Bombyx mori: one gene and its partners. The protein of the gene in region 1 purifies or fractionates together with the protein of each later gene. This does not show direct contact. Links are inferred from orthologs where the notes say so. Each region holds a gene or a part of one and is shown in the gene's direction. Other genes may lie near its edges.

What was found.
Region 2: the proteins of splicing factor 3A subunit 1 (region 1) and DnaJ-21 purify together in Homo sapiens (affinity purification with mass spectrometry; 4 studies listed by BioGRID and IntAct, with this or other methods). This does not show direct contact. The link is inferred for Bombyx mori from reciprocal best matches to the Homo sapiens genes SF3A1 and DNAJC8.
Region 3: the proteins of splicing factor 3A subunit 1 (region 1) and ATP-dependent RNA helicase WM6 purify together in Homo sapiens (affinity purification with mass spectrometry; 3 studies listed by BioGRID and IntAct, with this or other methods). This does not show direct contact. The link is inferred for Bombyx mori from reciprocal best matches to the Homo sapiens genes SF3A1 and DDX39B.
Region 4: the proteins of splicing factor 3A subunit 1 (region 1) and survival of motor neuron-related-splicing factor 30 purify together in Homo sapiens (affinity purification with mass spectrometry; 3 studies listed by BioGRID and IntAct, with this or other methods). This does not show direct contact. The link is inferred for Bombyx mori from reciprocal best matches to the Homo sapiens genes SF3A1 and SMNDC1.
Region 5: the proteins of splicing factor 3A subunit 1 (region 1) and pleiotropic regulator 1 fractionate together in Homo sapiens (co-fractionation; 3 studies listed by BioGRID and IntAct, with this or other methods). This does not show direct contact. The link is inferred for Bombyx mori from reciprocal best matches to the Homo sapiens genes SF3A1 and PLRG1.
Region 6: the proteins of splicing factor 3A subunit 1 (region 1) and putative pre-mRNA-splicing factor ATP-dependent RNA helicase PRP1 purify together in Homo sapiens (co-immunoprecipitation; 5 studies listed by BioGRID and IntAct, with this or other methods). This does not show direct contact. The link is inferred for Bombyx mori from reciprocal best matches to the Homo sapiens genes SF3A1 and DHX15.
Region 7: the proteins of splicing factor 3A subunit 1 (region 1) and U2 snRNP-associated SURP motif-containing protein purify together in Homo sapiens (affinity purification with mass spectrometry; 4 studies listed by BioGRID and IntAct, with this or other methods). This does not show direct contact. The link is inferred for Bombyx mori from reciprocal best matches to the Homo sapiens genes SF3A1 and U2SURP.

What each region holds. Positions count from the first base shown.
Region 1 is NC_085112.1:2,358,267-2,362,429, forward strand, and holds part of splicing factor 3A subunit 1, read left to right. Parts: coding exon 1-525; intron 526-943; coding exon 944-1,243; intron 1,244-2,012; coding exon 2,013-2,204; intron 2,205-2,210; exon of another isoform or gene 2,211-3,838; coding exon of another isoform or gene 3,839-4,163. Other genes in the region: transmembrane protease serine 3-like, read left to right, coding at 3,839-4,163. UniProt on the Homo sapiens protein: Component of the 17S U2 SnRNP complex of the spliceosome, a large ribonucleoprotein complex that removes introns from transcribed pre-mRNAs.
Region 2 is NC_085115.1:4,913,474-4,918,309, forward strand, and holds the start of DnaJ-21 (uncharacterized protein LOC101735997), read left to right. Parts: upstream 1-1,817; 5' UTR 1,818-1,893; coding exon 1,894-1,950; intron 1,951-2,259; coding exon 2,260-2,451; intron 2,452-3,347; coding exon 3,348-3,476; intron 3,477-4,019; coding exon 4,020-4,127; intron 4,128-4,836. UniProt on the Homo sapiens protein: Suppresses polyglutamine (polyQ) aggregation of ATXN3 in neuronal cells.
Region 3 is NC_085122.1:1,017,467-1,021,943, forward strand, and holds ATP-dependent RNA helicase WM6, read left to right. Parts: upstream 1-1,828; 5' UTR 1,829-2,220; coding exon 2,221-3,498; 3' UTR 3,499-3,648; downstream 3,649-4,477. UniProt on the Homo sapiens protein: Involved in nuclear export of spliced and unspliced mRNA. Component of the TREX complex which is thought to couple mRNA transcription, processing and nuclear export, and specifically associates with spliced mRNA and not with unspliced pre-mRNA.
Region 4 is NC_085111.1:9,515,846-9,520,469, reverse strand, and holds the start of survival of motor neuron-related-splicing factor 30, read left to right. Parts: upstream 1-1,373; 5' UTR 1,374-1,545; coding exon 1,546-1,587; intron 1,588-1,663; coding exon 1,664-1,926; intron 1,927-2,046; coding exon 2,047-2,193; intron 2,194-3,506; coding exon 3,507-3,777; 3' UTR 3,778-4,624. UniProt on the Homo sapiens protein: Involved in spliceosome assembly.
Region 5 is NC_085129.1:1,617,198-1,621,798, reverse strand, and holds the start of pleiotropic regulator 1, read left to right. Parts: upstream 1-1,471; 5' UTR 1,472-1,700; coding exon 1,701-1,816; intron 1,817-2,103; coding exon 2,104-2,231; intron 2,232-2,705; coding exon 2,706-2,942; intron 2,943-3,361; coding exon 3,362-3,448; intron 3,449-3,970; coding exon 3,971-4,056; intron 4,057-4,417; coding exon 4,418-4,601. Other genes in the region: uncharacterized protein LOC101740918, read left to right, coding at 1-448. UniProt on the Homo sapiens protein: Involved in pre-mRNA splicing as component of the spliceosome. Component of the PRP19-CDC5L complex that forms an integral part of the spliceosome and is required for activating pre-mRNA splicing.
Region 6 is NC_085130.1:9,705,584-9,709,746, forward strand, and holds part of putative pre-mRNA-splicing factor ATP-dependent RNA helicase PRP1, read left to right. Parts: coding exon 1-952; intron 953-1,846; coding exon 1,847-1,983; intron 1,984-3,114; coding exon 3,115-3,252; intron 3,253-4,163.
Region 7 is NC_085111.1:15,851,807-15,855,969, reverse strand, and holds part of U2 snRNP-associated SURP motif-containing protein, read left to right. Parts: intron 1-883; coding exon 884-1,104; intron 1,105-2,050; coding exon 2,051-2,162; intron 2,163-2,381; coding exon 2,382-2,624; intron 2,625-3,164; coding exon 3,165-3,351; intron 3,352-3,945; coding exon 3,946-4,147; intron 4,148-4,163.

The sequences.
Region 1 (4,163 bases):
TTTGATTTTCTTCGTCCCCAGCATTCACTGTTCCAATACTTCACGCGTCTGCTTGAGCAGTACACGAAGGTGTTGCTGCCGCCAAAAGAACTAGTATCAAAGCTGAATGCTGAGATACGCAGCGGGATATTAGAACAAGCTCGCAGTCGCGCTGCCTGGCACGCGCACCAAGCCAAGCGCAAGGCCGCTGACGAGGCCAAAATTGAGAAAGAGAGGCTCGCGTATGCCTCCATAGACTGGCACGATTTTGTCGTTGTTGAAACTGTAGATTACCCCGCAGGGGAACCCGGAGACTTCCCTCCTCCGACCACTCCACTAGAAGTCGGAGCCCGCGTCCTCGCCCAAGAGAGGGGTGAAGATATAATACGGAACCAGAATGACGACGATGATACTGAGATGCAAATTGAATCCGAATCGGAATCGGAGTCTGATGAGGAACTTGCGGAAATGGAGGATCGAACTCAGTCCCATCGGCCGGACGATAACCGCGTGCAAGACATGGAAGAGGAAAGCTCGACTTCGGAGGTAATATTTTTAATGATTTTACAATTTAAGCTGAACCAGTATCAACAAACTGATTTCAAAGCTAGCATTTAAAAAATCCTTCAATGCTATATATACAGTTCAGAGCCGTTTGATGCAGTGGTAAGTGACATGGTCACTACACAACAGGGTCGCGGGTTCGAATCCCGCCAAGGGAAGATATTTGTATGATAAATATAAAATGTTTTTTCCAGGGTTATGGATGTATATTAAATATATGTATGTGTATAATAAAAATCTTACATTTATTTCCGTTATCTGGTACCTGTAACACAAGTTCTTTACGAACTTAGCACAGAACCAGTTAACGTGGTGTGATTGTTAGTAAATATTTATTTATTATAAAAAAAAAGCTGTTCTGATAATATCATAGCTAATATTCATGTAAATTATTTTTCAGTCCGAGACGGAGCAAGACGCCCCGCGCGCGGACGAGGCGCCCCTCCCGCCGCGCCCCGACCGCGTCGTCGTCAAGAAGTACAACCCCAAGGAGGCGAAGCCCCGCGCCGCCGCCGGGGACGAGTGGCTCGTGTCGCCCATCACCGGCGAGAAGATCCCCGCCAGCAAGGTGGCCGAGCACGTGCGCATCGGGCTGCTGGACCCGCGCTGGCTGGAGCAGCGGGACCGCGCCGCCGCCGAGCGCACCGACCGGGACGAGGCGCTCGCCCCCGGGGCCGCCATCGAGGCTTCGCTTAAACAGGTATGCCCACATCCAAACTTTTTTGATAAATTTTTTTATTGCTTAAATGGGTGGACGAGCTCACAGCCCACCTGGTGTTAAGTGGTTACTAGAGCCCATAGACATCTACAATGTAAATGCGCCACGCACCTTGAGATATAAGTTCTAAGGTCTCAGTATAGTTACAACGGCTGCCCCGCCCTTCAAACCGAAACGCATTACTGCTTCACGGCTGAAATAGGCAGGGAGGTGGTACCTACCCGTGCGGACTCACAAGAGGTCCTACCACCAGTAACTATTTGCTATGTGTATGTGCATTACTATAATTCTCATGTTGTATTTGTTATTTTAGCTGTTCTACACACACTCATCACTTTTAATTATTATTCTCATAATCCTCTCGCAGGTCTGCTGGAAGAGATTTCTTAAAAAAATAAGCAGTGCCTTTGTACATAATTTTCCTATTACTCGGTACTATGCCTTCTTTTTTGTGTGTACGTAAATAAATAAATAAGTTTATATAATAATATCAAATTTTAAATAAAAAACTGAATTCAACAAAATACAACGAGAGAGAAACGTCTGAAGTCAATAAATGTGCAACTATTGAGGATAATTCCAAAACTACTGATCAAATCTTCATAAAATTTAAATGGCACCATGCTTTCAAATAAACAAATCATCAAAATCAATTCACAAGAGAAAAAAACCTCAGGAAACAAAAAAATGTCGAATTGCAAACCTCCTTATTTTGTAAGTCTGTTAAGAAAATAATAAACATTTGTTGTAGTTGGCGGAGCGTCGTACTGACATCTTCGGTGTAGGGGACGAGGAAACGACCATCGGTAAGAAGATCGGCGAGGAGGAGAAGAAGCGCGACGAGCGCGTGACGTGGGACGGGCACACCTCCAGCGTGGAGGCCGCCACCCGCGCCGCCAGGGCGCACATCACGCTCGAGGACCAGATCCAGCAGATACACAAGGTGAGCCGCGCCGCCTCCCTTCCACCAGGCCAACGACAAGGACAATGCCACCTCCAAAAGAGCTCCGCATATTCCTTTTTATACATTTTTCCCCCTACCTATGCTGATAGCCTTGAGAGGCTTTTTCTTCTAGATACACCATTTGGTCCACTACAAAATGTTTCTTTATTAATTTCGTTTTTTTTTTTTCATAGAACAAAATAGTTTGAAATTTTCAAATTTTAAACGCATGTGTAGAAAAATATGTGTCGAGTCTCCTAGTACATAAACCGGGGCCGAAAACAATGCGAATAAATCCAGCCACAAAATTTAAAATAATATACAAATATTTTAGTGTTGCACTCGATTTTAGTGACTTTTTTTTCTATATACTGAGTCTTAAGCGGCTATATCAGCTTCGCCCTAACATGTAAGTGAGCTCACGGGGCTCAAACCGGGAGTGTTGCTAACACTGACCCTAGCAAGAGCAGTGCTTCGCAGAATCTACCACCGGATCGGAAACGCGACCCACTGAGAAGATCCGGCGAGAAACTCAGTAGGCTGTGTCTGAGGGTTAAATTAGCGACCCGCCCGTGCTTCGCTTCGGGAACTATAACTTATTATTGATCTTATTGAATTTTCTATCTTCATCTTTCATAATATCGCGCACTCGATTGTGAATAGTCATAACTATTCAAATATTGATCCACCTACCATTCATTACAACCATGATTAACATGCATGTTATTCTGCAGTGTAAGCTATATTATTGTAAGCTTCATCAAAATTCATTGAGCACTTTTTGCGTGAAAGAGTAACAATTAAGATGTAGTGGGAAATTATTTTCCTTCGGGAAAACTCTGATCTTTATCGGAATACGATGACACCCGAACAGTCAATGAATGATTATATTAAATGAGTAACATTTTCATATCCAATAGTATGGAACTTTATTATTTAGTGTCAAAATGAATAATGTCATTGCACTGAGAGAGCACGATAAATACGAACTTTTCCGAAAAATTACGAAGTACTTTTCTGAATATGTCTATACATTCTTACACACTTTCACATTTATAATATTAAGTAGGATGAATCAAAAAAGGGTATTATTATGATATATAAAAAAATCATTGGATTCATTGAACATTGGCTTCAACCCTGATTCCTTCAATGCAGGAAAGGGCTTGCATTTTTTTGCTTACCTAATCGTCGGTACCCTAAAGGGCTATTCTAACTACTCACGGACCGGTAGGTGAGCTCCCTGGGCTCATCCTGAGAGAATTTACTAAAACTAGCCCTAGCAAGCACAGTGCTTCGCAGAATCTACCATCGGGTCGGAATCACGGCCCAATGAGAAGACCCGGTGAAAGAAACTCAGTTACTTGTGTTTGTGGCAGCGTATTCCCAAAAGGACAAGCACTAACACATTTCCCCACCCCCACTGTGCCAGAAAAAAGTTTTCATAAACTATCGTAAATGCCTTAAACAAATAAAATATCAATCAAACTGCTGGGAAACCCGATCGCGAATAACATTGCACAGCGCGTAATAAAAATCTCGTCAATAAAATATAAAACATTAAAACAGAAAAACAATAAAAATGTTTCACGTGTATTGTATTTCTCTTATGTTGAACAACATTGTAATACATAATGGGTATTGTGGCATTGAATCTAATGTTATATTTCGTTTTGCAAACTGTAAATATTGTGGTTTGCACGAAATCACTGCGCACAGGCAGAGATGCTTTAGAAGATGAGTACCCGTACGTTGTGACGGTCGAGTTAAAACTCACGAATACTACGACGAACGCTCTGCTGTGCTCGGGGTGCGTGCTGACCCCGACCTGGACCCTGACCACCGCGCGCTGCGTCTCCAAAACCGAAGACTTGCTAATCCAGGATCCGAAGATGTCATGGGTGGTGTACTATGGACTCACGCAGAAACCTTCCCAGGACACCGCCATCGCGATCCTTT
Region 2 (4,836 bases), on another chromosome or scaffold:
ATCATGATGTTTCATTCTTTAATATATGCTGCATCAAATAAATTAATTTGTGATAAAAATGTTTAAATTAAGCTTGGCACCTCAAAATATAAGTATTCAAGGCTTGACAAGGTCGATTGAATTGAAAAAGTTACCTATGTTTGACTACATATTAATTGCTTTCATTTGTAACAATGTTATGGGCACATTTACAGCATTTAAGTATCAAATGATAATAATATATCATGTACATAATACTCACAATAGTTTCCACAGTTTTGTAAAATTACGAGACAAATTTATAACCTCTAAGGAACCGCTTGGTCTCAGCCGTGAGAAAATAAGTCTACTAACTACGACCGAGATAGGGACGAATGAAATGGAACGTAAGAATAGGTACTCGGACTCTAGAGATACTATGATGGAATGATCGATAATTTATTTGACTCTTTGGGAGATAATAGCATTATACTTACAGGTAGTTCATGAATTCTGAATTACTTTTCGCATATTGTAATAATCTATAGTAATATAAGTAAAATCGTAAAACAGTAGGTAGGTACATACCTTTCAATAATGTACATCACGTATCGCATACAACACCCATTCACGCATCCCTCAGACCGTCCAGGTCGTCCAGTAAATTGACAGGATAATGTGCCACCTGTGCTATTTAACCTGTCATGTATACTGAATGAATAATGAAGTCAAGACGACTTTTTGGCGGGAACGCGAGGAGTGAAATAGTGTGATTTGTTTCATTTTGTCTATTTAGTGTTTTTTCGGGTTTCAATGTGTAATAAAGGTGGTTTATTAACTGTTTAGTATCTGTGAAAGTGCACAAATGTGGGAAAATTAAACAAAGCCGCTGAACGTAACTTCTCGGGATCCTCCAAAAAGTCCACTGAAAAAGTTTCAATAAATGACCACCATTTTACTGAGATTATATTTCGTCCCATAACATCTCATTTCGTTTAATTTCATGCCAATTGATTATGTTTCCTTCGTTTTTTATTATTCAAAAACTGGAAATAATTAAAACGGCGAATTATAAAAATCTTATTACTTGACGCTGGCTAATGCACAAACCGTGCCGTAGCCAAAAACTAAAGAAAAAGAAGAAGAATGAAGCCAAGAAGCCCTCTTTTCAATATGGAAAATCAGTGTATGTGTAATCACAAAGTTTAACAAATCGGTAAGATTTGCGCCAAGAAAATCCGGAACTGCTGTTGTCTAGTGTCAGTAACCGGCTCTACAAAATATCGGCTCGTCCGTGTAAGCTATAATCTATGTTAAGCTGCTCTGCTAAAGTAACATAAACTTTTTGGCGGGAACGCGAGGAGTGAAGTTAAGTGATTTGTTTTATCTAATAATTTATCTAATAGTTTTGTCTAATAATGTTACTTTAGTTTTAAATGTGTGACATCTGTGAAACTGCACAAATGTGAGAAAATGAAAAAAAGCCGCTGAACGTAACTTCTCGGGATCCGCCGAAAAGTGTACTCAAAAAATTTCAGTAAGTGACCACCATTTTACTGAGATTATATGTCATCCCATATCATCACATCTCATTTTATTTAATTGCATCCCAGTTGATTAATGTCTCAAATTAATCGTCTTCATTTCGTTTCACTCCATAATATCATTTTTCATAAAAATTAGAATATAAATTATGATAAGACATGACTTAAAAATCTTAGTTACCAGGTCATAAAATCCCTTATAAAAAACCAACTTATTGTTACACGCTTGTCACTATTTGTCAAGCTCAACATAATTTCATTCACATTTCGTTCAATTTCAATTCATTAAAATGCAAAAAAGTAGCATGTGAATATTTACTGCAATATTAATTGGAATTAAATGAATTAATTTAATTTAGTAATCTCGTTACCCTCCAATTCACATTTAACAATGACTTCGACGACATCGACAAACAGGGGAGATTCTTTTGACGAATTTTACACAGAGGTAAGCCATGTTCAAATTACAACGATGGAATCACCAAATGTTACATTTTAAATTATACAATACTTTTATTAAAACTGATAAAGCTGTTGTGACATGCTGAACGAAAGAACATGGTACACGATTGGTACATGTAGAGAGTTTGAATAACAAACAAAACAGATACAATTTGTTTCTCATACCTTCATGCTTACTCTAAATCATGTTTATAAATTGTCATGCATAATTAATAATCGAAAAAAAAACAAAAACATTTTAATCAAGCATTTGACAAATTCTCAATGATGTTTCGTGAATTTCTGTTGTTCATAGGTTAAAGAAATTGAAAAACGTGACTCCGTTTTGACACCTAAACAACAGATTGAGAGGCTCCTTCGTCCTGGATCCACTTATTTCAATTTAAACCCATTTGAGGTACTTCAGGTTGAGCCTGATGCTACACTTGATGAAATCAAAAAGAAATATAGGAGATTGTCAATTCTTGTCCATCCGGATAAGAATATGGTGAGAAAACATTTCAATAACCAAGATTAGTTGGTAGTCTATAATTTGAAAACCCACAGTGAAGTTCTGAAATTACATTGGTACTCAAGACTTTTTTAAATTTTTCTTAGTATTGCATTATTAGAATTTTTGAAATGATGAATGTTTTTTGGTAAGATCTCCACAAGATTAGGCGGTTACGCCCGTCAACTATTCATTTTCATCCACAGATTGGTTGAGACCCTGGGAACGCCCTGTGACTCCACTACATAGGTAATGTATGGAATGCAAAAGGGTTAAAATAAAAATAGTGTAATAGAGACAAAACGACCTGATTAAGTTATATTATCTCAATTTACTCTATTATTTAGTGTATTGTTTTAATTTGCCTGAGAAAATTGAATAAAACATACAGAGCGACAGGCTATTATAGCATCTCAATATTTTTCTGTGTACTTCAAAACTATAAATATCGCAACATATTATGATTATACTTGTAATTAAATTCTGCAGACAGTTACCAATTTTTGGAATAAAACATGCATTTGACACATGTTTTTGAATAACTTCCTTAATGAATTATTCAATTTGAGCATGAAATAAAAATGAACCTTGAAAAGATTGTAATTTTTGTAATTATTATACAATTGAGACAAAAAGCTCAAGGTGCGTAGCAACATCTGTAACTCACTCAGTCACATCTGCAAGCTAAAAGCTTGTTCACCGATTTATACTATAAATTAATTAAACACTTTCATTAGTCAAAAAAAAATATCAAAAAATCTCTCACTGAATTCGCAAGTAAAATTGGTTAAATATATTTTTAACATTAATCAAATAAACATTAAAAATAGTAAATAATAACCAAATACCAAACAATTCTAGCAGTAACAAAATTACGGAATTTTAAATTGCAGGATGACTCTGAGCGTGCTCAACAAGCTTTTGAAATAGTGAATCGAGCTTGGAAAACATTAGAAAATGATGACACAAGAAAAAAATGTCTGGACATCTATGAAGAGGCTAAGGAACGAACAGATCATATGGTGAGTGATTTGCTTTATCTAATTACCTGATAAAGGTGATCAAATAGAAATATTGTCTTTGCCAATGTTAAAATCCGATTACAGTACCTATGAAGCCCGTAGTTTCAGATCCTCTCAATCCAATATCACTGCCTTTAGGTACCTCAAGCACCAGTCACTGTCGCATTTTCATTCCGGTGGTAGATTCTTTGAAGCCCTGTTCTTGCTAGGGCTAGTGTTAGCAAATTCGCCAGGTTAGAGCCCCGTGAGGTCACCTACTTGCCAAGCGAATCTAGTTAAATGATTATAAATGAAATTATTTATAAAATTTTAACTTAAAATTTTTGTACTTTTATATTATCATGAAACAAGGTATCATTTTGTTGTAATTATTTGAATTAAAAAATTCAAGGCTAGGCTTAAAAATATTAATCTCACTTCATGATGGGAATCGAAAACCAAAATTATGTTACATATCATTTCACAACAATGACCAATCAACATAAGTTAAACACTGATTTGTACTTATAAAATTGTATTTACACTGCTTATTTATAATTTCAGATAGAACAGAAACGGAAAAAGCTGAAAAAGGAAAACCGCTTAATAGAAACCATTCCTGAAGATGATCCAGAGAAAAAAAAACATGCCGTATATGTTATGACCATGAAAGTATGTATTGCGTAGTGCTGTTTAATTTAATAAAACTACATTTAATTCAAATGAATTTAAAGATAAATCATGTGTATCGGAATCAAATCCTCATGAGTCGCATTGAGTACATTACTTTATGTATCACCAATAGCTATTCAAACATACACCATTATGAATGACTAAGTGAAATTATGATAGGTATAATAGCCGGCAAACTTCTTGAGCATTTGTTGACGTAGTGGGGGTAAGTTTGCGCATGGTACACTCACGTGCAAAAACATTATTTACTCTGCGTCATAATGCAATTAAATTATTAAAATCAACATATGTATTTATTTATATATTTATTAGAACATCAACAAAAAATATAGGTTAATAATTGGGGTAAAATAGATATTCCTTCTATTAAGTCAAAACTAGAGCTGTTGCCAGGTCTTCGTTCAGTTGAAGCGAAGCTGGTATTTGTAATTTTTTTTTCGTTATCATAATCTTGACCATTACCATCATCACTGTTTTCATCACCCGAGTCGCCATCATCATGATAAGTCGACATAGGGCTCATCGGTGTAGTTTACGACTCGGTCGGTTCGATCTTCTTTTTTGTCTATAATTAATTATTTTTTGAAGATATTCGATTCGTAGTAATCGAATGTTACTTTTTTCAATTACCAGCTTCCGATTATTTTCTGTTTTTTTTTTTCCATCTGAAGCCTAGCTCTTTCATAAT
Region 3 (4,477 bases), on another chromosome or scaffold:
CGGGCGCCTCGTATAAGGCGCGTCACCTGGTCATGCCCCCCGATGTTGTAAAGAAGCCGGCTTAACGTGCCAGCCACCCCCAACAAACGAGGGACCAGATTCTGAAAGTGAACACGGAAGGTCCAACGACTGTCCAGAATGAGGCCGAGGTACTTCAACTGCACCCCGACCCGATACGGATGCCTCCAACCACGATATGGGCATCGATAGGTGGCACTCTCCGCGGCCTGTGGAACCACATGGCCTCGGATTTACTGAGTGTCACGTCGAGGCCCGATTTCCTGATTTTACCGACGACATGCGCCACCCGAGCGGTGGCAAGACGAGCAAACTCAGCAAAACTCCTGTGTCCCATTATTTTATTCTATCATCAATAGTTTTCGTAGGGCACGCGACGTAAAGAATATTTTAGGTAATTTTTTTTACACCTTGGGTTAAATTATTGGAGTTTTAGTAAGGATACCCAATTTTTTTTTAAAAAAGGTTATAGTCTACGTCACTCGGGAATAGTGAAGCTTCCAAACAGTGAAAGAATTTTTCCAATCGGCTTAGTAGTTTCGGAGCCTATTTAATACAAACTAACAAAACTTTCCTCTTTATAATATTAGTACAGATATTAATTATTACAAATAATAAAAACGCTGACTTAGGTGGCGGTTTTTATTTGAACCAGTTCTAAATTATAAACTAAAATTCTATGAAAAATTACCCATATTTATCTATAATACGAAATGATATTAATTTGTTTTTCGTAGTTTCCTTCCTTCTTGCGTCGATAATCCTCAGTGCTGAGGGTCGCGGCCTCCTCTAATAACTTTCTCCTGCATCATCTTGCGCCATTCCTGCCTGTCCTCGGCTGTATGGATAGCAACGTGGACTGAAGTTTTGAGAGTGGAGCGTATTTGGTCCGACCAGCGCATTGGATTTCTGCCTCTGTGCCCTCTCCCGCATACCTTGCCTGTTACCAGCAACTTTTCCAGATTCTCACCTCTCTTTCTGGCGATATGTCCAAAGATCTCTAAACTCCTCCGCGCGCATGTAGTGCGGAGGCGCATTGGAATCTTGAGCTCGGTAAGAATGGATTCGTTGGTTCTGTGTTCTGTCCAACGAATCCCGAGCATTTTCCTCCAGCACCACATCTCAAACGCGTCGATGCGTTGGCGGTCGGCTTTCTTGAGGGTCCAAGTCTCTGCGCCGTAGAAAAAAATGCCACCCAAGCACAGTCCATTTGGAACATAGCCCTCTTTGCCATACTGATTCGCCTTCTGAGGTCCTTTTCGGAGGTTCCATTACTAGCTATGACGGAGCCCAGATAAATGAAATCCTCTACGTCTTCCAGGTTTAGCTTATTCGTAGTTTAATAAGTTATTATTGTTAGTAGTATTATTTACTAGTCGAAATATAAATTTTTAATTATCTTATGATGAGAATCTTATATTAATGAGAAAGATATTCAACAAAAATAGTTTCGTTCTAATAAATTAGCATAGTAATAGTACAGTGAACTAGCAATTTATTTTGGTAATTCTGAATTTAAACAAACATATTGATGAGAAGAATTCATTTTTACTTTGCAAATTTGTAAATACACGCTCTGTAGCAATGTACGGACATATAATAATATGAAGAAACAATAATAGCATCTACAAATATATATGTACTACGTGGTACTACATTTAATAAAATTAATACAACATTTATTAATTAAATTAATGAAATTGTGGTTTTAAAGTTTTAGGGGTGTATAAAAAATGGGGGGCGCTGAAAAATAATTGATATTCAAAGGGGGCGGTAAAAGAAATAAGTTTGATAATCACTGCTCTAAGTATTTCATTTTTAAATACTCATAAAATGGGTCATTTCAAAAAATAATATGACATGAAAAAAATCATATAAAAGACATATTATTCACGTGCTCACGTGAAAATAAAAACTATGATTGCATTATAGCTGTTCGCCTGTGTTCTTCTTTTTACTTTACACAAATAAAATTTCAAATTAATCAAAAATCAAATTGCAAATTTAATTCTCGTAAACTGTTGAGTGGCGAAAAAGCCAAGTGGCACGTCATATTTAACTGTCAAACATAACAAAAAAAGTTTGGATTGACGCCAAAAAAGCCGAAGCCGCCATTATTGTGAAATCGTATTGTAAAAATAAATTTCACGTGCTCACAGTGAGTACGATACAGTAAACAAGCTAATTAAACTAAAGTAAATCATGGCTGACAACGACGATCTTCTCGACTACGAAGATGAAGAACAAGCAGATCAACAGACTGCTGACGGGTCTACCGAAGTGGCGCCAAAGAAGGAGGTTAAAGGATCCTACGTATCCATCCACAGTTCTGGTTTTAGAGACTTCTTACTTAAGCCAGAGATACTCCGCGCTATTGTTGATTGCGGTTTTGAGCATCCTTCCGAAGTTCAACACGAATGCATTCCGCAAGCCGTCCTCGGTATGGACATACTTTGCCAAGCCAAGTCCGGTATGGGTAAGACAGCCGTGTTTGTTTTGGCAACATTGCAGCAGCTGGAACCCTCCGAGAGCCACGTTTACGTGCTTGTAATGTGCCACACCAGAGAGTTGGCTTTCCAAATAAGTAAGGAGTACGAGCGTTTCTCGAAATATATGTCAGGAGTCAGAGTATCAGTATTCTTTGGTGGTATGCCAATTCAGAAAGACGAGGAAGTCCTTAAGACAGCATGTCCTCACATTGTAGTGGGAACTCCCGGTAGAATTTTGGCATTAGTAAACAGTAAGAAACTTAATTTGAAACATTTAAAACACTTCATCCTTGATGAGTGTGATAAGATGCTGGAATCTCTAGACATGAGGCGAGATGTGCAGGAGATATTCCGGAACACTCCTCACGGGAAACAGGTGATGATGTTCTCAGCCACATTGAGTAAAGAAATCAGACCTGTGTGTAAGAAATTTATGCAAGACCCAATGGAAGTTTATGTAGATGATGAAGCCAAACTCAAGCTACATGGACTGCAGCAACATTATGTGAAACTAAAAGAAAATGAGAAGAATAAAAAACTCTTCGAACTACTTGATGTATTGGAGTTCAATCAGGTGGTTATTTTTGTGAAATCAGTACAGCGCTGCATAGCTCTGGCACAACTGCTCACCGACCAAAACTTCCCTGCCATTGGTATCCACAGAAATATGACCCAGGATGAGCGTCTCTCCCGCTATCAACAGTTCAAGGACTTCCAAAAAAGGATCCTGGTTGCAACAAATTTGTTTGGCCGGGGAATGGACATTGAAAGGGTAAATATTGTCTTCAACTATGACATGCCTGAAGATTCAGATACATATCTACATCGTGTCGCCCGCGCAGGAAGGTTTGGTACCAAAGGTCTGGCCATTACTATGATATCTGATGAAAATGATGCCAAGATCTTAAACCAAGTACAAGATCGTTTCGATGTGAACATTACAGAGCTGCCTGAAGAAATTGAGCTCTCTACCTACATCGAAGGACGATAGATTAAGTTTCATTCCCATACCTATTTACTGCTGTGGCTCATTTTGTTGGTAATTAGACTGGCCTGCTTTAACATTGATTTGTAATACATTGAGCCACATTTACTGTTTAACTAGGTTTATCTAATTAAAGTGACATTTCATATTGTGATATCTGAGTGTTTTATTTCTTTACCAACAATTTGGGAGCTTTCATCGTTATCAGTAAGACAGGCTGTGATATGTTTAACTTTAGAATGTAGACAGGAAATTGATATATTTATTTTGACCATGTTCATATTAATGTAACAAAATATCCATTTTGAACATATCATTTTGTCTTTATGACTTCATATTTTTATATTCTTAGACATGCAAAATTTACTGATATTGGATGTTAATACTTCACACAAATACTACTGGATGCATTTGGATAAAATTTCATGCCTAAAAACTTCAGAATAAAACAAGCCATAATTTAATTTAGAGTACCTACGTACAGTGTGAGAGGTGGGGTGCAAGTAGTTTCAAGAAATTACTGTTTTTAGAGCCTTGCTATAGGATAATTATACAGGAACGCGACCAGTTTTAACTGAAAAGTACAGAAGGCCCATGTCCAGTAACTGGTATCCACTACAAAATCAAAATCTATAATTGTCTGCCTACACTATATTGATTTAATTAAACTAAATTAGAAACACGTCCAAAGATTTTTTTATTATATAAACTGGCATTTTAATCTATGTTCACAAAAGACGAAAAAGCGATAATGCTAAAAACATACTTTATTTTAGCACCATTTGCATACAAAATAAATATTTAAATTAAGCTTATAGTCCTGCATTTAATTTTTTTTACTGGTGGTAGGACCTCTTGTGAGTCCGCGCGGGTAGATACCACCACCCTGCTTATTTCTGCCGTGAAGCAGTAATGCGTTTCGGTTTGAAGAGTGGAGCAGCCGTTGTAACTATACTTGAGACCTTAGAACTATATCTCAAGGTGG
Region 4 (4,624 bases), on another chromosome or scaffold:
GAACGAGAACTGAACGCATCACTATTACTTTAAATATAGCAACATTATTTCACAAAGTGACATTAGCTACTGTCAGCTGGCTTCGTCTAATTAAAAATCCGACTATTACATATTTATATTTATTTTATTTTTAATTTTTTAAATTAAATTGTATACCAATTAATTGCTCCTTCAGGATTTATATTTGTTTTTTTTTCACGACTAAAACCGCGTAGAAAGTTTAGCCATTATAGTTGACGCATGCGCAGTACACATATTTTGCATACATTTATTCAACTAATAAAAATAGTAAATTAAACAAAAAACGAGTAACTTCGAAAGAGAACAAACGTGTTTTATATAAGAACAATCGAAAATGAATATTTACGAGTCATTAAGGATGAAAAATATTAAAAATTGCATTAGAGGGGCTAACTTGTAGGTATATTTTTAATTTTTTTTTTTAAATAAATAAATGCAGAACAAACAATTATTAACAGTGAACAATCATGAACAAATGATGAACAAACGAATTAATAGAAAATAAGTATAAAATAGGAAAAAAATATTTTTTTGAGGGGCTAACTTCATTCACCTGGCTATGTCAGCGTAACCCTAACTTTAGTAGGTGAGCTCACGGGGCTCAAACCTGGTGAAGTAGGTGAGCTCACGGGGCTAGTAGTAGTTTTATTTTTCCAAATGGAAAGGCACAGGTATCATACCACACAGCGTAATCTTTTATATGTATTTTTTATTTTATGAAATATGATACTATGAAATGAATTGAAGTTGATTAATCTATGAAACATGGCATGAAATGAAATGAGATCTCAGTAAAATGGCGGTCATTTACTGAGATTTTTTCAGTGGACTTTTTGGAGGATCCCGAGAAGTTTATGCCATAGATATGATATTTAAATATTTTTTTAAGGGATTTTATGAACTAGTAACAAAGACCTTTAGGTCAAACATTTAAACATAATTTATGCTATACACAGGTTAATTTAATGAAAGTTTATCTCATTTAGTTGGAGTTTGAATATAAATGTAATGGCAGGCAACACTTGACACATGATTACAGATTTTGAATATTAGAATTATTTTAAATGCTTAATAAACAGATGATTGTCTTCTCGTAAGAAAAAGTCAGTACTTTTAATCTAGATATGGTCAAAGCAACATGTAAGAGTTTTACAAAAATATAAAGATAATAATTTTATAATGGTGTAACAGTGTTCAAACTATCTGCAATATAATTATAATGAAGCAGTGTTTTTTTAAATAGCCCCTCATTACCTACAGAACCCAATCCCCTCAAATTTAAACGTCCAACATTTTTCATAAAAATAAGTTTATAAATTAAAATAAGACATGCCTTAAAAGTGTTAGTTACCAGGTCATAAAAATCCTTAAATAAAAAAAAGTTGAGAGCACTGATTGTCAGATTTGTCTGATGTCAAGCAATGACAAGCATTGAAGCAACAGCAGTAAAAAGTTGAAGCGATAAATTATCAAGCAAGCAAATTAAGCATTTGTCGCCTGGTTGATTGAATTTAATATATAACTATGGCCGAAGATCTACGAAATTATACCTTACAATTGCAACAGGTAGGTAATATACATTATACCCAAAATATTTTTGTTTACCAAATATTTTACTCACTCTTGATGGTATTTTTCTTAGGTGGAGGCAGCGTTATTAACGGATCCACATAACGAAGAACTTTTGAAGTTAAAGGCTGATTTAGAAGAAGTAATTGAATTGACACAAGATTTAATTAAGACTCAAGACGGTGATTCAAAAGTCTCTAATATTCATGGTTCTAGTAATAGTGATGATGTTACAGCGTCCCTGTTGGCTGCAGAGGAACGAGATCCTGCAACTAGGCACTATTCTAAATGGATTATTGGCGAAAAATGTTTGGCAAAATGGAGAGCTGATGGAATGTAAGAATTAAAAAATGCTTTATTTCTGGAACTACTGTACACTTTTTACATTACAGTACTTATAAGTTAAACATATTGTATGTGAATTAAACCGATATTATAGTGATCTTAAAATTCTAGGTTTTATGAGGCTCTCATTGAGGAGGTGCTAGAAGACAATTTAAAAGTAAAATTTGATGGATACACAACCTTGGAAGTAGTCTCATTGACTGATATAAAGCCTTTAAATTCAGGAAGTAAAAGACCACATAGTACTGATGAGAGCAAGTAAGTAGAAATAAATCTCCTTGTTTTATATTTCATGAGATACATTATAATGAATACCAAATTGACCCTTGAAATACAACTGTCATCAAATAACAAAAATACTTACAATGTACTTAATAAAATTATAATATTAAATACTTCAATTATATTTATATATATATTATTAATATTCCATTTGAATCTCATGACTACTGTATCATTTGGTCCATGTTGTATAGCTGTGCAGTGAGTTTTACTGTTTTTAGATATAATGTGATTCTTGTCAAGTCTCAATCGTTGTGTTTACTGAGTAAAAAAAGTTATTTTAAAAACATTCAGTTCATGAATAATGTTAGATAGGTTAGAATTAATTCTTTAATAACATTTGCATTTTCGCATTGGCAGTAAACACTGGTTACAAAATTTGTTTAAAATCAGAGTTATTGTGATTTACATTATTTTAATTGAGAATGACAATTTTAACTTGAAGATATGCTTTGTCATTGGTATCATTTAACCTGAAATAAAAATGGAATGGATAAATGAAAATGGAAATGGAAATTTAAATGGATAAATTTTGAATTTACTTGTAATTGTGTAAAATTTATTGGCAGCAGCCTTCTTAGTATTCTTTGTGTTCCGTACCATATTTTATTTTCCCTGATGCTGTAATGTACCAAGCAAGCACTGAAATAATACTTTCATCTACATCATTTTGTAATTTTTGCATGTTCAAAACATATTTAAAGCTACTTTTACAGTATAATCTTGTAATTACTATTTTCATGATCAAAAAATCAGTAGTAAAAAGTATTAAGAAACAACAGAATCAAAGATGAAATGAAAATATTCAATGTGAGATTAAACCGTAATTTCAATTAAAATTGTTATTGTTGTGGAAAATGATTAAATTTGAATATTTGTTTCAGACTTATTGTATGATTAATTTTTTTATTTAATTCTAATAGTATTGTTGTAAATTGTAGAAAGAAATACATTAATTGATGTTTTTCCACTTTATATTTAGTGCTTACTGGAGCCCATAGAAATCACATAATTAAATATAAACATTGACCTTACCACTAGTATATATAAGATAGGAATGATCCATATGAATTAGGAACTTAGGTAGGAAATAAAGATAAAGATAGTACAAGTAGTTCACTGAGTCTGGGGTCATATCTGTATCTGATATCTTTTGTGTGCTTTTTCCCCAACCTATTATGATAAGAGCATAAAAGATAACATCCACTGAAAGTCTAGTGAAGGAGAACTCCACTTTAAAAAAAAACAGATGGAATTTAAATTCACTAATATAATGTTTTTCTTTCCAGACATGGCAAAGGGTATAACAGAGAGTATTTAAAGAAAAAAAAACAGAAGAAACAACAAAGATTCAAACAGATTGAAGAAGAACGAGAATCTGAGAAGAATAAGTGGTTATCATTTCATACTAAGGCTTCTAAAAAACCTGGTGTCAGAACAAAAAGTATATTTGCTTCTCCTGATAATCTGACAGGGAGAGTAGGAATTGGTACTTGTGGTATATCAGGTAAACCAATGACTGAGTATACACCTGGCGAAAAGTGGAAGAAAGGAGGATAAAAGCTTCAAAATAATTATAATTGTATCATTGTTTAGTTTTAATAGTCAACATATAGAAAATGGCAGAATATCGTTAAACTTCATCAAAACATTTATTTACTAGTGCAAAGGTTCAAATCTGGCCAGAGGCTGAACATAAATAATATTGAAAACATATTTCCGGGACTATTCTTCATTTATGAATGCACAGATAAATAAACTTTATTGTTAATTTTGCTGTAACTCTTTACATTAATTTATTTCATCTAATGAAATTATCAGTATGGGTCTCCCGAAATATTTATACCATAACATGGCTTTAGATTTTTAATGCAGAAAATGAGAGCTCATGTTCTACCGATTTTTTTAAAATAATTGAGCAATAAGTTATAGTCTAGATTCCAGAGGATTATACGGCAAGGTAAAAGCATAAAATTATTATTTATCTCAATAGTGGCCCTTAAGACCAGCCTTAGCAACTATCATTTACAATATTTTCTCAATGAAACAATGATGAAATATCCTATTTGTCTGATTTGATATAGAATATAGTCACTTGAAGAGGAAAACGTCTTATCTTGAAAAAATATTGCTGATGATACCCTAAGCCTGTATATAGTTAAGGTAGTCAATAATCGGAGGTGACTTACAACGAAAGATCTAAAGTACTAGATTGTGTCGTAATCAGTGGTAGGGTTGGGATCGCATATTTTTTTCTCTTGTGTTAATACTGCAATTTTCTGTAAATGTTTTACAGTACCAACCTATTGTATTATATGAGCTCTGTTATTGTCTAACGATATTTTGTCGAACTTTTAGACAGGGTGTAAGGAAACGGCTCTTGAAGTTGAACCGGTATAAATTACTT
Region 5 (4,601 bases), on another chromosome or scaffold:
CGGTACAGCGAAAGCCAGTGGCTCCAACGCATTATACGGTGGCCCGGCTCTGGATTCACGAGTGCTGTGGGCGGCCCTCACGCCGAGAGGCACGAGACACTTTGTCGCCGACACTTACCCGCACGACGATACGGAGGACCACCACTACGAGTGCGTCGAACCCCCTCTCTACAAACTCGGCCCACCCGAAGACTTGGCCATCACCCGTCACTTCAATGTTGAATACGAAGACCCGGCGCCCCTGATAGAAAATTACAGCGATAGAGCTGAGGACTACTTCCGTAACGGTATCGAGACGCTGCGCAGAACGAGACCGCTCGTGTCATCGCCAACCAGGATCGAACGCCCCAACTTGCCTCCTCTGAACCTTCAGCCGAGGACGCTGCGCCGCGCGCCCCACTCCCGCCGCGTTAGCGACGCTAATAATCCAGAGAAATCGGCCATCTGAACCGAGAGTGGCGCGGTATTCTCCGTCGCCGATACAACTGAAATCGATTACGATTGGCAGTCGATTGAAAATTCGAACGTTGACCGTCTCGTTTAACAACCGTACTATTGACTCTTGTTTCACTGAGTGTAATGCTTTTTTAGTTTTGAAAAATCGTCGTCGAAATTTCTGGTAGTTCAGTGATTAACATTCGTTCATAAATACTAAAATGCTCTTTTACGGTAATTGTGTGTTTATGTAAATATTGTGTATGCACTTATTAAGTATTCCAAGTCTGTGTGTTGAACAGTACAATGTGCTTAGTACCATTTGTATGGAGTTGGAACAGCGCCTTTAGCGGCAAACGCAGAGTAACTGCCCCAGCTCCATACAATTTTGAGTAACTTTTACACGATCGAGAAGTTAAAACAACTCGCACCAGGCACACTGTACAATGTAAATAATACTTTGGAGGATGTTTATTGTATGTAATTTAACATAACAAATAGCTATCATTAAATCAATAAATATTCGAAAACTAGTGAGCAGCTGTATCTAGTCTAGTTTCTAGTCTGTAAGCACAATTTCTAGTCATGTTCGTACCTACTTGTGAATTTAGAGGTAAATATAGATATAGTCCACTGTGTATTTTATTGAAAATCAATTCCACAATTTTCTTCGCAATGAATTTTTATGCTCGAATTTTGTACTTATGAATAAAATCGACGTTGTGTAAACAGTGTTTTTTTCATTTCTAGGAGCAAACTCTAATTAAATTATTGATAAAATTCTGAGCCAAATCCGTACTTTCTATCCGTCACAACAAGCATAAACAACAAACAATAAATTTTTTCTTCAAATACCCTTTAGTATTTCAGCTCAATAAGAGGAATTTAAAATGTTTGTTTTAAAACAATTAAAATGGTAATTTCAAAAAATCATAATAATTATGTTTGTTGCAGGCTAATCGAGATTTGCATTCATTTGCCCAAATTTTTTATTATCTGTACAGTGACACTTGACAGTGACGCTGCTCATACCGTCCATTTGACGTTTGTTTGACGTAGGATTTATTTTGTAGGAAAGTTGTTGCTGTTTGTTGTCGGGTATTTCTTGGTCTCGACACCGTTAAAACCAAAAAGCTTTTCGTAAGAATCATAAGGAATATGCATTAATTAAAAATAAAATTGAATTTAAATGCTGATTTAATATTACAAGTTAATAGTATTTCGTATTCTTTAAGTAATTTTAGACATTAATTAATAACTTCATAATGTCTGAGGACGTGATTAAACATTCTGTACACACTTTAGTGTTTCGATCGTTGAAAAGATCGCACGATATGTTCCTAGCTAATCAAGGAATGTTGCCGCCAATCGACGATAAAGCGTAAGTAAAACAGAATAATATTATTTGAGGTTAGTTTAATACAAGTCCTAATGGAAATAATCGATGAGCTATTTCAAAGATCGGTACAATAGACAAACTAAGCGATTTGTTGTTCCGTATCAAAAAATTTCTGCTAAACCTTTAAAACTTTCTACTGTACTGGAGAAAACCTTTATGGGAGCAGACAATGTTGTCAAGGTAAATAAATTAGAGGAAAATGTCACGTTATGTATAACTACATAAAACACTAGAGTAGATAATTATTATTTATAATTTTACATTAACAGAGAGAAAGTACTGAAATTGGTTAAAGCAAGAGATAGTTACGGACAAGTCATGGGTGCAGTGCGGAAGGCTCAGGCCCTGAAACAACAAGAGTCTGTCACCTGTAGACCTGAAACTCCACTGACCACAGGTAAAAACAATTAACAAACTCCTATATACGGTTAAGCGCTTAGGCTCAGGATAAATAAAACTTCCACTGAAGTACATATTAAAACTCTATTTAAAACTAAGAACACTTACCAAACACTTTACAATTCGTAATTCACTTCTTCCGCTTCGCTTCAGGTGATCCGTTTGCTGTTTCGCTTTGAGTAGATCCTTTTAATAACTGCTTTCATGTCATCTCTGCAACGCTTTTATAGTCAATACGATATCTCTACAAAAATCGAGAACATTCCAGAAATATGGATCAAATACAGAAACAAAAAAAAAATTATTCATTTTTATGGAATTTTTTTTACAACAAAGTTGCATTTTCGTTATGATAAAAAAACAGCAAGAATTTAGCTGTGGACCTCATGAGTTCTATGCTCATTACATTCAATAAAAAATCGGTCCAATACTCCTTGATATTGCAATGAAATAAATCGAATGTTTTCTTTAGCAGAAACAGTGGAAACTGCACCTTTGCCGTCGGAAGGGGCTGTTGTCCCATACTCTGGACCAACACCTTCACCGTCACCAGCTCCCCCCTCGGGGGCTTTAACTGTACCACGGAAACCGCCGTCTATGCCCAAACCAAAATGGCACCCACCCTGGAAATTAATGCGTGTTATATCAGGTCATCTGGGTTGGGTTCGATGTGTTGCTGTAGAACCTGGAAATGAGTGGTTTGCTACCGGTAAGTAAAATTATAGAAACCACATACAGAGCAAACTAATGGCATCTAATATGCCAACATTTAACTAATATATTTAATCCTTTTAGTATAAATTAGAAGAAGGATATGTGGTAAGAATTATAATTACAAATTTGTCAATCTTAAAAATTTTATTAATATAAAGTTTGATTTTTACATATTAAATATACTTATTTATAAGACTTTTTTATCAATACAACACAAAACATAAACTTTGACAGTTAGATAATCAATATATTGTATTTGTGTAGACAAGCTGTTGTCCTATGAACGGTTGAAAAAATAAACTTGATTTATGATTAAAGTTACTTCATTTTTCTGTTATAATGAACTTTTAGCACAACCATTACAATAAAACCAATCCTAAGGAATTAATCTGCATGATGGTTTTGATATTTCAGGTGCCGCTGACAGAGTGATAAAAGTATGGGATTTAGCAAGTGGGAAACTAAAAGTATCTCTCACTGGACATGTGAGTACAGTAAGAGGTAGGTGCGCACACTTTTTGTATTCATGCAAAAATCAATGCTTGGTTTTCAGATTTTGAATAATGAACGCATTTTTCTTTTATTGCCCAGACAAGCACACTGCCCACCTGATGGTGAGTGGTTACCGTCGCCCAGGAACTTCAGTAATGCCATGGGCTTAGCCAAGCCGCTGCCTACTAAATTAGTAATTTTTTTAGCATCATCAGCCTGCGGCAGTCTGCTGCTGGACATAAGCCTCCCCAAAGCTCGCCACTAAACCCAATCTTCGGTTCCTTAATTAATTTAGTAATTTTTTATTTTAGTAATAGTAGACATTTTTAATTTTTTCAAACTTTTGCTGCTATGTATATTACAGAATTACATAACAAGTTCTGATCATAATTTTCACATTAACACAGTTCTGGATATTTCATCATGTTGTACGCACAGAGACCGTAGGTTGAGTCTATGTTAATTGTGAAAATCATGATCTAAGAATCCATCAAGTACCAGTATGTGTAATATGAATATATTCTATTTCAGGAGTGGTAGTGTCACCAAGACATCCATATTTATTCAGCTGCGGTGAGGACAGACAGGTGAAGTGCTGGGACTTAGAATATAACAAAGTGAGTTATTGACCTATAAATAACAAAAAAATATAGGTTAAATGATATGTCTTTAAATATATGTAAAGAAAACTTTTATTATTTAAAACTATTTAGATTTTAAAAAGGATTTTTCTTCAGTGTTATTCAGTGTCATGGAGTGAAGTGAAAAAGAGAGTTCAGTTTTGTATAGTTTATTATTAATAATATGTACTGTTTACTCTTTAATTGAGGTTAAGGGCTTTATATGTTGCTTTCTTACTATATCACAGAAACCACAACTAATTCATTATTGTTTATTCATTCTGAAATACTCCATATAATTATATGTATATAAAGCAGATGAATTTTTGTATTTAGGATCGGTTCGTTGTGTGTGCAGGTGATCCGGCAGTACCACGGTCACCTGTCGGCCGTGGTGTGTCTGGCGCTGCACCCGCGCCTCGACGTGCTGGTGTCGGCCGGCCGCGACGGCACCGCGCGCGTGTGGGACGTGCGCAGCAAGGCCAACGTGCACACGCTCGCCGCGCACACCGACACCGTCGCCTCGCTCGCCTGCCAGGCCG
Region 6 (4,163 bases), on another chromosome or scaffold:
GAGTGGCCTGTACTCAACCAAGACGAGTGGCTGCTATGTCTGTTGCTCAGAGGGTAGCCGAAGAAATGGATGTGGCTTTGGGTCAGGAAGTTGGTTACAGCATTCGTTTTGAAGACTGTTCAGGGCCACAAACACTTCTAAAATACATGACAGACGGTATGTTGCTAAGAGAGGCTATGTCTGACCCAATGCTAGAACAATATAGAGTTATACTCCTCGATGAAGCCCACGAAAGGACACTTGCAACAGATATCCTGATGGGTGTTCTCAAAGAAGTCATAAAACAGAGGTCCGATTTGAAACTCGTTATTATGTCAGCCACATTAGATGCTGGAAAGTTCCAGCATTATTTTGACAATGCTCCATTAATGAACATTCCTGGTCGGACTCATCCGGTAGAAATATTTTACACTCCACAACCTGAACGAGATTACCTAGAAGCTGCGATAAGGACTGTAATACAAATCCATATGTGTGAAGAGATCTCTGGTGATATACTACTATTTTTAACTGGACAAGAGGAGATTGAGGATGCTTGTAAGAGAATTAAAAGAGAAATAGACAATCTGGGAACTGATGCAGGAGAGCTAAAGTGCATACCGTTATATTCAACATTGCCGCCAAATTTACAGCAACGGATCTTTGAGCCGGCACCTCCAAATCGACCAAACGGAGCCATCGGCAGGAAGGTGGTAGTGTCCACAAACATCGCTGAAACATCTCTGACTATTGATGGTGTTGTTTTTGTCATTGACCCAGGTTTTGCGAAACAAAAAGTTTATAATCCCCGTATAAGGGTGGAATCGTTATTGGTTTCTCCGATAAGTAAAGCATCAGCCCAACAGAGAGCGGGGAGGGCCGGCAGAACTAGACCTGGGAAGTGCTTCCGGTTATATACTGAGAAAGCATACAAGGATGAAATGCAGGACAATACTTATCCTGAGATTTTGAGGTAATTTTTATAACGGTTTGTATGTGACTACCGTTTCGAATGTAGTGAGTAAATACTGTATTTATTTCTATACTAACAGTTGTAATGTTCAATTATTATTCTTATATAATAACAAGATAAGCTCTGTTTGTCTATATTTTATAGCTTTTCATGTGCATCATTATTTCTGTCTGATTGGGTGTGGTCACTGTCAATTGCTGAGAATCATCACTTTATATTACTGTCAATTGTGTATAAAGTTTACTTGTTGTTTAGTAGTCCAAATAAAAATGTATGTGCTATAAAATCATTAATTGTGACGAATCTTGGATATTTTTTCCAAAATAGGTTTACGTCATAGAAACAACAAGCTAGCTATATAGGCTATATATAGTTTCTAGAATATATTTTCATACAAGTCGGTGTAGTGGGCAGAGCACGACAATGTTTCTCTACTCTAATATAATTTTGAATGGGTTACAATTCGCGGTATAAGAATCAGACCAAACGCATACCCACAAAAAAAAAATTTTTTTTTTCATGAAACTGTTCAAAATATAGTATTTTATGAATTGCCAAAACGACGTAATGGTATAGTTGATATTTAACAAATTCCAAAACAACTAAAAAGCCTAAGAATCACTTTCAATGGAACCAGAAAAATGTATGGAATTTGGTATGAAACGAGAAAAATTGAGAATTTTTTCCTGACTTTATCTGACTCTTACACAGCGAATTACACTAACATAGTTCTAGAAGCTAACACCCTAAATATCTCAGCTATTGAATGGGTGAAGTCTAAGAGTACTGTTACTGTCATGTCAATATGCTAAAATCACACCCCCTTTAAGTTTGTCCTGTTCGGGTAATGAAGTGAGTTGTAATCTAATAATACGACTGCGTTGCCCGTTCCAGATCAAACTTAGGATCTGTAGTTTTGCAGTTGAAGAAGTTGGGCATCGATGACCTGGTGCATTTCGATTTCATGGATCCACCGGCTCCGGAGACACTCATGCGGGCGCTCGAGCTGCTCAACTATCTGGCTGCGCTGGGTGAGCTTGTGCTGTATATTGTTTTTGAAATTACTTTAGAAGCGTTCATGGATTATTGTAACTAGAGTTGCCACGAATAGTGATTTGGCCGAATACCGAATATTCGGCAACGCTGTTGGCGGAAGCGCCGAATATTCGGCACAAAGTACATGCTAGTTAGTCGAGCGCGTAAAGAATAATATGACCGGTTGGGACCTGTCTCCATCGTGTGCGGGCGGTGTCCGGCCATTAGACTGTTTCAGTTGCGAGTAAATCACGTCACGGCACGCTTTGTCAGATCAATATAAATGAAACATTACGATTTTGTAGAAAACTTTTATCGTCAGTTCTTTTTCAATTGTTGTTCATTAAAAAATGACACCAATTAATAAAAAATCGGCCATATGGGAATATTATGAGATTTGTAATGAAAATAATAAACAAAAATCATTATTCGAGTTTTTTGACGAAACATGATTTGAGACCTGCCCTTCATTTTTCGGTATTGGGCCGAATAGTACCTATTATTTGGCCCAATACCGAATACCAAACAAAGTGGCCGAATAGGCCGACTACCGAATATTCGTGGCATGTCTAATTGTAACGTCACTAAAAAAGGCAAAGACAAAACAATCATAATATACCATTTGTCTATTCTTTTTGTGGTTTTTCTTAAGCTTTCGTAAGGATACTGTTAGTAATAAATAAAAGTTGGAAATACTTAGCCTTACTTACTTCATGAAGAAATGACAATAACAAAACAAAAGACAGAAATGTAATGGAATTTTGACCATTCAATGGATTTATAGATGTATGCAGTGAGGACAGACCTATGCAGGCTCTGCATGGCCTGCCATGAATTAAGTTTTTTTGCTTAAATCTGTGGGCGTCTATCACCCACCTGATGTTAAGTGGCTACCAGAGCCCTCAGCCATCAATAACGTAAATTTCGCCATCTACATTGAGACATGAGTTCTGAGTATACGTTTTACAGTACAATGGCTGCCTTCGAACCGGAACACATTACTGCTTCACGGCAGAAATAGTCATGGTCGTGGTATCTACTCGCGTGAGCTCACAAGACGACCTAACACCAGTCGAGACAGATGGGTTATTATTCATGATGTTCATTTGTCATTTGATTCTCCACAGATGATGACGGTAACCTCACTGACCTGGGTGCTGTGATGGCGGAGTTCCCCCTCGACCCACAGCTGGCCAAGATGCTGATAGCCAGCTGCAATCACAACTGTTCCAACGAGATCCTCTCCATCACTGCCATGCTGTCAGGTAGGATGTTCCATATCTGTGCTTACAGATAGCGTGGTCATCGTTCTCGTCGAACCCGTCGCTTGCGACGAAGGGCTCGACGAGTAAATTAACCCACAGACACAGCCCACTGAGTTTCTCGCCGGATCTTCTCAGTGGGTCGCGTTTTCAATCCGGTGGTAGATTCTGCGAAGCACGGCTCTTGCTAGGGTTCGTGTTAGCAACGACGTCAGGTTTGAGCCCCGTGAGCTCACCTACTAGTTAAGGTTACACTGAAATAGCCTCTCAAGGGTCTCAGCTTAGGTAGGAAAAAAAACCCAGATAGTATTTGACTTGCTTTAAGTGATTTCTTGTTGGGTATACGATACTGTCTGTTTATTTAAAGAAAAAATCACAAGCCACACTTCACTAGTTTGTTTTAATAGAAATTAATTTTAATAAATTGTCCAACTCCTGAACTGGGGGTAGCCTCAATATCTACAGACTTTTAACTTGGAGAATATACTGGGCAACTAGGTCAAAATGCTGAAACTACAATATATCGAATAAGGATGATGCGATTACAATTGCAAATAAGACAAGCATCATGTAGCTGAATGCACCATAAGCTCATAGAAATAATTTGTTTGATACGATATTGTATAAGTAATGGTTACATGGCTCATCGATGGAGCATGAGACAAAAAATTGTTGAAGAGTGCGGAGTTGAGTGACCCCTCCCAGCACTGACGCTTCCTCACCACATTTGTCATAAAACTAGGGGCCTGTTTCAAACCCAATGAAGGAAGTTTTAACGATGACATTTGTTCTATGCATCAATGGGAGTCACAAGCTATTGTTTTTGTTAAACGAAGAACGCTTATGACGTCACCGTCATGCGAAAGAGACAGCGAGACTACCCGTAGACTGGCTCCACATTAGCAAAGGAAACA
Region 7 (4,163 bases), on another chromosome or scaffold:
AGTCCTATCCCTAGTTTCACCCATAGATAAGAGATGGCTACTAAAACATTTTTGTGCCTATTATTTTTGCCTACAAAGCAGTGTAAAAGTAAATTCAAAACTCCTTTCCATGCTGGCTATGGTAAGCTTAGGCCGCTTTTGTGCTGACGGCCTCATTTAACAATTGATTAAATTAGATACGGCAAGTAAAATGTCGTTTGACCGATTCGATTTATAGAACAACAATTTTAATTATTTTTTTTATGTCGTACTGTTAACATTAAAATTTAACCCATTTTTCCGTTGTTTGTAAAATTGCTGTAACATTTCATAGTGTGTGTTATAAGAGATTTCTGTACATGCCTGTAACTGGCTTACATACCAGTACTTAATTTTATACATGTTAAGTATAAGCTTGAGTGTTTTGTGTGTATTGCTGTTGGTGTGTCTAAATAAACTAGTGGTCCGCAGTAGTCGAAATTCGTCTATAATTAATTGGAATTATAAGTTTGAACATTATTATGGTTCTATCGTCAAAGACTATTATACTTCTATAATCACAGATGTCGCCAAGACTACACTATAGACAAATAATATTGAACATAAATAATATTAACCTATTCTAAATTTGACTACAGATTTTAAGCAATAACAAAAGTTCGACAATAAACAGAGTATAAGTGTGTGTCAAATACATGGTAGCGTGTGTAATGTTTTCTTCATTGATTTAATATATTTTTATGCATAATTTTACATAAATTTTAGCGTTCTGCACTTCTTCTCTATATTATGTATAAGTGTGGGAAATTTCATACTCCTCCGTCCAAGCCATTTTCGTAAAAAGGGATACGAATTTTTTGCTTCACGTATTAATATTCTAAATAAATAAATATGTGTTTTACAGAAACATCCTAATGTTAATACATCGAATGGTCGAGTTCGTCATCCGCGAGGGTCCGATGTTCGAGGCCATCATCATGAACAAGGAGATGCACAACCCCTACTTCCGGTTTCTGTTCGAGAACCAGTCGCCGGCCCACGTTTACTATAGGTGGAAGCTGTACTCCATGCTGCAGGGAGACTCGCCTAAACAGTGGAGGCTGGACGACTTCAGAATGTTTAAAGGTGAGATTTAGCTAAATTATAATACTTAGATTTAAAAAATGCATAAGATGCAATAAAAACAATTATAATAAGACCTGAACAAAAATATTGGAACAGGTTGGAATTTTTTAATCTGTACAGGTAGTTCTTTATCAAACTATTTTTAAGGCTTTTTGGCGGAAACGTGAGGAGTGAAGTTATGTGATTTGTTTTATTTTGTCTATTTAGTGTTTCTTCAAGTTTAAATGTATAATAACAGTGGTTTATTAACTGTTTAATATCTGTTTAAGTGCACAAATGTGGGAAAATGAAACAAAGCCGCTGGACGTAACTTCTCGGGATCCTCCAAAAAGTCCACTGAAAAAATCTTAGTAAATGACCACCATTTTACTGAGATTATATTATTTCATGCCATATCATTTCATTTAATTTCATCCCAGTTGATTAATGTCTCAAATTAATCATCTTCATTTCATTTCACTCCATTATATCATTTTTCATAAAAATATGAATGTAAATTAAAATAAGACATGACTTGAAGGTCGCAGTTACCAGGTAATAAAATCCCTTAAAAAAAAAAAACTATTTTTAAGAATTTCTTTATGAATTTGTTTCCTCGTCCTGTACTACCAGAAGTCCACGTGTTGGTGCCACCATTCACGTGCGTCAAATTAAAGTAACAGCTTAACATACCGAATGTCAATGATTTCAGATATCGTAACAATAAGTGGTATCTGAAAATAATGTACTAAAGCTTTCTGTTTGCATACAATCTAATATAAAACACAATTAACTGAAGCGCGGGTTTTGGGGAACGTGTGGGGTCATTGAACTTTGCGTTACATTGCGCGCTAATAAATTCACCAAAAGTACAAGTAATTATTCTTACCATATTATTATGTACTATTGTAAGATCGAAGAGTGTCAAAGTACCCTATAAATGGCTATAAAATTTGTATGTTCCCAGGTGGTTCAGTCTGGCGGCCGCCGGTGATGAATATGTACACGGCGGGCATGCCCGACGAGCTGGTGGAGGAGGAGGACGCCAAGGACTCCATGAGAGGAACGCTCTCCGTCAAGTCAGTTGCGCGACCCTTGCGCGTTTATTTCAATAATCTTTTTTGCATTCTGGATTCTTTGAAAGAACCCAAGAGTTATTGAATAGTGGTTTTGTTCCATTTCTCCATATTTGTGTATTTTGAAAAATAAGAATATAAATTAAAATAAGACATGCCTTGAAGGTCTTAGTTACCGGGTCATTAAATCCCTTAAAAAATAACGTAGTGTTGTGGTTGCAGTCAGCGCGACCGGCTGGAGGAGCTGATCCGCTCGCTGTCCCCGACGCGCGGCAGCGTGGGCGCGGCCATGGCGTGGTGCCTGGAGCACGCGGAGGCGGCGGGCGAGGTGGCGCAGTGCGTGTGCGAGGCGCTGGGCGGCGCCGACACCGCGCCGCACCGCCGCGTGGCGCGCCTCTACCTGCTCTCCGACATCCTGCACAACGCCGGCGCCAAGCTCACCAACGCCAGCGCCTACCGCGCCGCGTCAGTATACTGCTTCTCTATACTGCCAGCTTTAAATAAGCTAAGAACAAACAAAGCACGATATGGCTACGGTAGGCAGCGGCTTGACTCTGCCCCTGGCATTGCTGAAGTCCATGGGCGACGGTAACCACTTACCATCAGGTGAGCCGTATGCTCGTCTGCCTACAAAAGCAATAATAAAAAAAAGAATTTTATGAAACTACGGTAAAAATGAAACTTTTTTCACATTATAGACATTTGACTCTGACAAACAACATTTACATTAAACACTGACAAAAACAAACAAAAAAGCGTCGAGCACTGGCACAAATGAGTAATAGTCTATACACTATACGGTCAGCTATAGTTCACAGTATAGGCGCTGCCATATTGGCCTTGGCTGCTCTAACGAGCACCTTTCACTTTATCCCTACTCCGCAGACGACCGTCACGCGACATGCAACACACAGACGAAAAAGTTTGAGACGATGATGAAGGTTTCACTTTAAAAAAAGACAGCAAAAACATTCTATTGAAGTTAGACTTTGTTCTTGCGTGTAGATTCCAGCAGCGGCTGGCTGAGATCATGCGCAACTGCCAGCAGGCCTGGGCCCGCATGCCGTCCCGCCTGCAGCAGGAGGGCTTCCGGGCCCGGGTCACGCGCATCCTGCAGGCCTGGGCCGACTGGGCAGTCTATCCCACTGACTTCCTACTACATATTAACGACATCTTCCTGGGACAAGATAAGGTGAGCTTAACCCAATACTAAATTCCACTACTAAACGTTCACTTTACATGTCTAACCTATATAGCTACAAAAAAATTTTGGTGCTTTTTAAATCATAATAGCAGAATTAATGTCTTTGTAGAATGGCTATTAGTATTTCAATCGTATTAACTTGTATCTGACGGGGAGATACGGGTTGATATTGATGTCAACGGAATTTGAACAGAACGGACCAAACGAATTTCGGAAAATTTTCCAGGCCGTTCAATCTCAAACGATTTCGCCTACTGTTCAAAAATATGCTTTGCCAGAAAAGTATATTATTATCTTTATTTACAATATGAAAAGATACTTAAAAGTCTAATATCTGTAAAAAAAATAAAATAAAATAATAATGCTAATATTTTATCTCATAAAAACTTTACATATTATTATACTAATTTTTAAATTATTAAATTAGTCAAATTTTATTAATAAATTCTATTCCATATTTAAACACGAGCTTATTTTTATTATAAAAGAATGGATAAATTAAAAAAAAAACTTGGTTCTTGTTCGTTCATATACAGACACTATTGTAATGTTCATACATGGTAATGAGTTGTGGTTGTACAGGAGCGTCGTCCCTCGACCGAGGCGGGTGCGGGCGGCGCCGGCGCGGTGGAGGAGGCGGTGTCCCCGCGCTCCGACGCGTCCTCCTCGTCGTGGGAGGGCGGCGCCCGGGGCCCGCTGGACGGCGCCGCCCTGCGCCGCCTCGCCGCCGGCCGGGAGCCGCACGCGCCCGCGCTGCCGCCGCCGGACATCGACGGCGTGCCCGGTATGTACACGCGCCC